Linked DNA regions of Tribolium castaneum. The protein of the gene in region 1 purifies or fractionates together with the protein of each later gene. This does not show direct contact. Links are inferred from orthologs where the notes say so. Each region holds a gene or a part of one and is shown on either strand. Other genes may lie near its edges. The genes, in order: akirin and Prosalpha5.

What was found.
Region 2: the proteins of akirin (region 1) and Prosalpha5 purify together in Homo sapiens (affinity purification with mass spectrometry; 3 studies listed by BioGRID and IntAct, with this or other methods). This does not show direct contact. The link is inferred for Tribolium castaneum from reciprocal best matches to the Homo sapiens genes AKIRIN2 and PSMA5.

Annotation. Positions count from the first base shown.
Region 1 is NC_087398.1:5,661,505-5,665,957, reverse strand, and holds the start of akirin (akirin), read left to right. Parts: upstream 1-1,650; 5' UTR 1,651-1,895; coding exon 1,896-2,088; intron 2,089-4,453. Other genes in the region: ankyrin-3, read left to right, coding at 1-499. UniProt on the Homo sapiens protein: Molecular adapter that acts as a bridge between a variety of multiprotein complexes, and which is involved in embryonic development, immunity, myogenesis and brain development.
Region 2 is NC_087396.1:10,900,696-10,904,058, reverse strand, and holds Prosalpha5 (proteasome subunit alpha type-5), read left to right. Parts: upstream 1-1,313; 5' UTR 1,314-1,429; intron 1,430-1,488; exon of another isoform or gene 1,489-1,556; coding exon 1,557-1,828; intron 1,829-1,877; coding exon 1,878-2,083; intron 2,084-2,133; coding exon 2,134-2,384; 3' UTR 2,385-2,561; downstream 2,562-3,363. UniProt on the Homo sapiens protein: Component of the 20S core proteasome complex involved in the proteolytic degradation of most intracellular proteins. This complex plays numerous essential roles within the cell by associating with different regulatory particles.

The DNA.
Region 1 (4,453 bases):
GAACGTGCGCGACTCGAAGGATATCCACTACGTCTACGACCTTACGCTTACTTTGGTACAATACGGGGCGAATCCCGACCTGAGCTTGAACATGTCCGAAGCAATAAAGAACCATCCGTTGCACCTCCAATCCATTTGGAAGACGAAAAACTACATCTTGTACTATTACATAATGCTTATATCGCGTAAAGAGAATCTCATAATGGACCCGAACATGAGCTTTTCGAAAATAATCATGTTATTTTATTTTATAATGCAACACAAGCCGCTATTCGAATGTCTGAAGATTTTGCACACTCAGCAGTTGAGTTTGGTACCGGGGAAAATGACTGAGCCGTTGACCTGTATTATTAGAGATTTATACAAAAGACCAAGAAGTCTGAAACAGATCTGCCGCGTTAAAATACACAACTGTCTCGGGCGCAGACCGGGACTCTACATTAACAAACTGAATCTGCCCAATCAGCTGAAAGATTATTTGTTGAACTTTGAACCGTAGATCAAGGTGACTCGAAGTCGTTCAGGATTTCTTCTAATATCGGTTTAGAATTAAGTGGCGATGTCTAAATGTGACCCTTAGCCCAGTGTTGAATATTGTTTCTTTCTCGCTCGAAATCATGAAAATACTCGTCGCAAGTCAATTATCAAAACGTATCATTGTTTGACTTGTTTCTGGCGCTAGCTGTGATATGTTAAAAAATCCTGGACGCGCTTCAGCCGTTGCTAGTTTTTAAGGGAGATAATATACTTGTGATTTCTTGTTAAAATTTCTAAATTCTAGTAATCGTAAGTGTTCAGTTGAACGGTACAATGGGGTCGACTAAAAGCAAGGATGTTGTAGAACTACGACTTATGATATCTTAATACGCTTTTGAGCTGTGTTCGTGTTGAACAGGGTTTTGTGCAGATTAGACAGTTTTTAAATGAACCACTCACATTGTTGTTTATTCCGTGCCTCTTACGTTTGAAACACACTGCACACAGACGTGTGCGAACGGTTTTTGGTTCCGTCACCGGTTTTTCTTTGACAATAATATTTAGCTTGGTTTGTTGTAGGAATCTGGCAAAGTCCTATGCTATACAAAATATCAGCTCTGTACATTTTAATATATATGCCAAATATTATTAAGAGCTAAGTATAATATATAAATTGGATAGTATATTTTATGTTAAGATTTAAGATTATGTGATTTTATTGTTGAGGCATATTGGTATCATATTTGGATAAAAAGTATTTAATAAAAAAATGTCTATATTACACGGATTTGCTTTCTTTCAGCCCTCAGTTAAGATTAGTATCTTTAAAAACTGATTATTTTTAAACACTGGACTTTATTTTTGCATAGTTTTTTTTTTGCCGAACGCACTTTTTTGATTCACTACCCCCTACCCCCAGGTGTTGCGCCACCACTGGCAAGAAACAAGTAACAATTCGGTTCTTTTCAAAGCAAAAGCAACAGTAACGTGCCTAAAAATGGCATAAGGTAGCAAGCGATTTCATGATACATTCGTTTTAGCCGTTGTTAGACGGAAATTTGCGTAATTGCCTTTAAATTAGCCCAATTAATTTTGAAAAAACGCGAAGATCTTTGGTCCCGGGAGATGTCGCCAGGGTACAAAGCATGCGCAGAGTCGCGCAAGCCAATGGTAACCGTATATTCATCACAGCCCACTCTGCCGTTCACAAAATGTCACTTCTCTTATTTCGTTTCGCCATATTGGTCGTTGGGTGCGCATGAAATCGTCGACCATTCCCCTTTCATGGACAAGTTTCGGGGTAAAAGTACCGCTGCATAAGTGTCCAAGTGCAATTTCGGTTTTGTACATAGCAAATTCGCGATAGCCTGTGAAACAAAGTTTGTTTTGTGTGTGAAGTGTTAGCGACAGAACTAAAAATGGCGTGCGCTACTCTGAAACGTTCCTTGGATTGGGAGCCCGTGCTGGGGGGCCGTCCGGCCAAACGCAGGCGCTGCATTCCCTTCTGCGAGAGCCCCACGCACAGAGACAGGGCTTCGCCTCCGGCCACCTCCTCCTCCCCCAAGCCCAAGTCCGTCTTTCCCGATGTCGTCAGCCAAAAATTGACCCCTGGTAAGTGGACAGGGCCGGCCTAAGGGCCTTTGCGGTTGTTGACACTCGGTCTCAGCTGATCGCCGATAAAGGAATGACGTCCGAGGGACTTTTTACAGGACCGATTTTAATTCCGTGTTAATTGCTTATCTTGCTCGAATTCGTTGGAGCATCGTGATTTTAGAAATTGAGGTTATCCGCTCGTGTTATCTCAACGTTTTTAGGTTATTTTTGCCGATTTAACCAAATCTGGGTGCGGGTATATTGATTTTGGAGCGGAGGGGAGCGAGGACATTAAATTTTATAATTGGGGCTTACAGGCTCTCACGCTTTGGATGCCTGGATTCGATTAGAGTTTTATGGGAAATTTCATGACCGATCGAGGAATACATAAATCTTCCATGATTTGAGTCATAATTTTTTCATAGCTAACTGTAATAATGAAAGATACTTAAGATTTTATTGTGATATTTAGAAGCTTGAAGATAAAACTTAAGTTGAGCTTGTACCAACATGACTTCCTAGATTGTGAGCCACGTTAAAAACGCACGTATTTTTTTGTCATTCTATTTCCACTTTTTTTGAGCCGACAAATTTCACTAAATAACGAAATTGGTGGTACGAGTATATTTTTTTAAGAGAAATGCCAGATCACAAAGGATTATCTTTTCAGCCCTCAGTTAAGATTAGTATCTTTAAAAACTGATTATTTTTAAACACTGGACATTTATTAACCTTTATTTTTGCATAGTTTTAGTTTTTTTTTGACGAACGTATTTTTTTGATTCACTACCTCCTACCCCCAGGAGTTGCGCCACCACTGGCAAGAAACAAATAACAATTCGGTTCTTTTCAAAGCAAAAGCAATTTATATTTTTTTAGGGGAAATGCCGGATTACAAAGGATTATCTTTTCACTAAAATAAACTTCAAACAACTTGACATCAAATAATTATTATTTTTCGTATTATTGGTAACATGGTGACTATTTTTAGAGTTAAAAAAAGTCTCTGTAGAAAGAATGTTGTACCATTTTTTTAATAAAATTTATTTTCATTACCTGTTTTATGTTAGAGCGTGCTTAAAAGCTTTTTTAATGAAGTCATTAAAGCTTATACATGTTCTCTTGAAAACAAAATATATTGACCTCATATTTTGTATCAGCTCGTAAAGCTCGTTTCAGACATGCTTGAACAAAATTTAATTTGTAACACAGTTACAAATTAAATTTTTCTATCATCTTGTTTGAATCACATATAAATGAAGTTATAAATTGTGTTAACACTTTTGTTAGTATGATTCTGATTTAGTTATTATCTTTATTAAATGCTGATGCGTACAATTTTTCGATTTTTTATATAGGATGGTAAAATAATCTAGTAATAAAACAAAAGTAAATACAACAATAATTTTATTAGAAACATTAATCGATTTGATTAGTATTTTCATTGTCATCATTCATTTACCTTTTTTGTTGTTGAACTGTTATAAAATAATTTGTGCCAAGAAAGATTAAACAAATAAACAATACGTTAATTGTTTTGTGTATGCGTAAGTATCTGAACATAATATGAAAATAAGGGGATAGGGGAAAACACCAGTTTTAAATTGAATCATTTTTGGAGGGAACGTAAAAATTTACAAGAATTATACTACTTAAAGTCAGCTTATTAGGAAGCATTACTACGAAAGAGATGTCAAAGACCTTTTCTGTGAAAATATTAAGTCGCAGGTATAAAGGTGCTGTTTGAAAATCAATGTGTTATGGAATGGTTTTCTTGTTTTTTTTTGTAATTAATTAATATATTGTTTTTTGAATGTATGATAATGTCTTAGGCTGAGCATAAACCTAACAATTGTTTAAAATTCAAAAAAACTATTTGTTGTTTTCTAAATTGTACTGGATTTCGAACTTTATATTTTATATCAGTTGCTACGGTTGAAATAAATCCATTGTAAACACACATTTTGTTGTTTTATTTATTTAAAATTTAAATAATAGTACGAAATATAAGTAATAATTTAGTAAATTTTAAAATTAAATACATATACAGTTTTGTTTGGATTTAAAGACCAATGATTTCGATGTTTTGTCCGAAATCTGACTTCCTGGAAAAATATTCCCATTTATCTTATCAGCATTATTTGAGAGTTTGGGTTTAGGATGCTTTTACTGCCCGTAATCTGGTAATTTTTCGAAGCACTTGGTAATGGTAGTTGGTCGTAAAGGGATAAGAGATGGGTAAAAGCTCATCCCGACTTAGAAGGACACCTGTGTCTAGATTCGCGGATAGTGACGTTGTGGCTGTGTCTCTAGGGTTTTTTCTGAAAATTTTACGGCTTTGTAAATTGAATTAAATGTGCCACTGCGTGACTGGTGGGTCATA
Region 2 (3,363 bases), on another chromosome or scaffold:
TTTTATTAGGTTCTCTAATTTCAGACAAATTCAGTATTGAAGTAAAACAATTTTCACTTTCTTTTCCTAGTCTGTGGATATTGATTAATAAAACACCAGAGTTGATTAATAGATCTTTATCGCTTTGTAGCACTTTTAAATAATCTTCATTACTACAGAAAGACGATATGACTTGCACAAGCTGCGATATCTCATAAGCTTCCAAACTTGAATCTTTATTTTGAACTGTTTGAAAAATAATATTACCAGACGCTACAAATTGGTTAGTTAACACTTTTAAACCCGTTACTGGTATATTTAATGCCTCTCCTTTAATCTGTTTATCTCTGATTACGCCCAACACTGCTGCCCTCTTATTAATCTCAAATTTTAAGTAATAATTCCAAAAATTACAATCACTTATTAGTTTTTCTAACATGAAGTACAAATATTCTACACTATTGTGAGAGTCGTAAAGTTCAAGGAGAAAAGAATACGTGTCAAAATCCATGTTCAATTCCTTGTATAAAGACATGTTATATAAAAGGGCAGACGTTTCGTAAATGTTTTTCTTGTCTTTCAAGAGTGAAAGTATTGTAGGATAAAACACATCATATACTCTATCCACAGCACTTTTATTTGATATTATTAAATTAAACAAAAATTGTAAAATAATTTGGAATGCATTTTGTATCACTTCAGACTGTAAGTTCATAAAATTGGACACATTCGGTAGAAAATTTTCGTCATTAACTAAATAATTTTGAACGTCTGAATTTATAACATAATTCCTTAGACTCCTAAACAATTCTTTTATGATTCCTTCATGATTTTTGCTTAGGCTTTGCTCAGAAAGTGTCTTTAAAATTTTATGTAGCAAATCCACAGCTTGAGTTGAAAATTCAATCCTGAAAAACTAAATCTTCCAAATTTTTCTTAATAAGGACAAAACTTACTTTAGGGGGACACCTGTCTCGTCCTTTTCCAGCCTAAATTCTTTCTTTAAGTAAAGTTCAAGAGCGGAATAATCATTCTGCTGCAGGTATTCATCGACAGTTTCCAGTTTTACGGATATTGGTCTAAACATAATTTATTTTCACGTCGAAAAAGCTCACAATTTTTATACTATTTTGGCTAATTTTTAAAGGTTAGGTGTCAAATTTGAAAATCAAGCACCAACCCTACGTTAAAAAAGGTTCTAAAGAGCCAGATAATATGTAAAAGGACCTTTGTTTTTTGCTCTTGTGCAATCCCAAACACGTTTTTACAATACAGTGTTTGAATTGAAGGATAACTTAGATTTTAAAATAATAAGAATTAATTTCTCATAATTTAAAATATCATTATTGTAGCATTGGCGACACTGACTTGGTGAGAAAATCGTGTTTTGGTTTGTCATCGTCGGCTTTTTCCTGAATTTAGAAAAATTTGAATTAATCCAATTATAAAGGTAATTTTTACTTATAACTTATGTTTTTTATTAATGTTCTTACATAACTAATGGTTTAGTCCGATTTTGACTGCATTTATTGCATGCAGAGTCATTTTTTGTGACATAACCTCACAAAAACTTTTAGATGTTCCTCACAAGAAGTGAATATGACCGAGGTGTGAACACTTTTTCACCTGAAGGTCGCCTTTTCCAAGTGGAATATGCTATCGAAGCTATCAAATTGGGTTCCACCGCTATTGGAATATGCACTAGTGAGGGGGTTGTGTTGGCGGTAGAGAAGCGCATAACTTCCCCATTAATGGAGCCCACAACAATAGAAAAAATTGTAGAAGTTGATAAACATATTGGTTGTGCCGTGTCTGGCCTTATGGCAGACTCTAGAACAATGATTGATAGGTAAATAATAAAAAAAATAAAAAAATGTAGTTGATCAAAATTATGCCAGGGCACGTGTGGAATGCCAAAACCATTGGTTTGTCTACAACGAAAACATGAGTGTGGAATCTTGTGCCCAAGCTGTGTCGAATCTAGCGATTCAATTTGGCGATTCTGACGATGATGGTGCAGCAATGTCAAGGCCATTTGGTGTTGCCATTTTGTTTGCTGGGATTGACGAAAAGGGGCCCCAGTTGTACCATATGGATCCCTCTGGTTGGTTTTAATAATTATGTTAATCTAAGTTTTTTATTTTTTCACTATAGGTACATTCGTTCAGTTTGATGCCAAGGCGATTGGATCTGGTTCAGAAGGGGCTCAGCAAAGCTTGCAGGAGGTCTACCACCGCAGTATGACACTAAGTGAAGCAACAACAGCGGCACTAACAATTCTTAAGCAAGTGATGGAAGAGAAATTGAATTCTTCAAATGTTGAAGTCATGACAATGACTCCTGGTGCACTGTTTCATATGTTTAGTAAGGAACAGGTGGAGGAGGTAATTTCTAAAATATCATAATTTATATCAAAGGCAGGAGGTTGCTCGTTTTTATTTTACAAGCTGTTTTATTTTTCTATACCAGTATAACTACATTTTTACTGTTTTTCCATCAAAACGATGTTCTCTGCTAACAACATATTTAAATATCGTTATTATTCACTCTACTGGAACAATAAATAATTAAGAAGAAAATCATTACGTTTATGCTTACCACACCTGCTTCCTGGACCTTTTTTCCTAACCCTCATAACTATCGCTAATTACTCTAATTAGTGATGCATAGCGAAATTACCGTAACTAGACACATTTTCATTTTATCCAAGGAGATTCAGATAGTGGATAAAAGGTGGAACCCACATCTTTTTTCAGGTTTTGCTTCTGTCCGTCATACCCAATAATTATTTTTACAGTTGAGCGGCCTTACAGCATAATTAATTAATCAAGCTAATCAAAAAGTTTGCTAATAATTTGATCTTGCCTTTATTCACTTATTTAAAACAACCATAATAATTTAAATAAGAATCCAGACCAAATCTTCATTGTGAGTAAATTTAGAAGAAGAGTTTTTTAAACTTTATTAAAATAGATTTGCATACTATTACAGTTAACGACCAAATGTTATTTAAAGAAACTGTAAGAATGTTATGTCGACAATAATTTCTTAAGTATGTCATAATAAAGTGACAAAAAAGTCGATTTATAAGTAAGTTTGAGTAAAAATTTAAATGGCATTTATCCGGTGAAATGACTTTCAAAAAAATTATTCACATACATAATAGTTTTTAATTTGTGTTATTAAAAGTTGCAACTATTAATTTATTTTTATTGCTGATTAGGTTTACGTAGTTATTCTTTTTACGATATCTAAAATATAATTATTGCTTTGTTCGTTTCTCTTTCTATAACATTGTGCATGTTTTTTCTTTATTAATACAAAATCATTGACAAAAAGTTCTTACAGTCGTAAGTAATTTGAAAAGTAAGATTTTTAATGTTG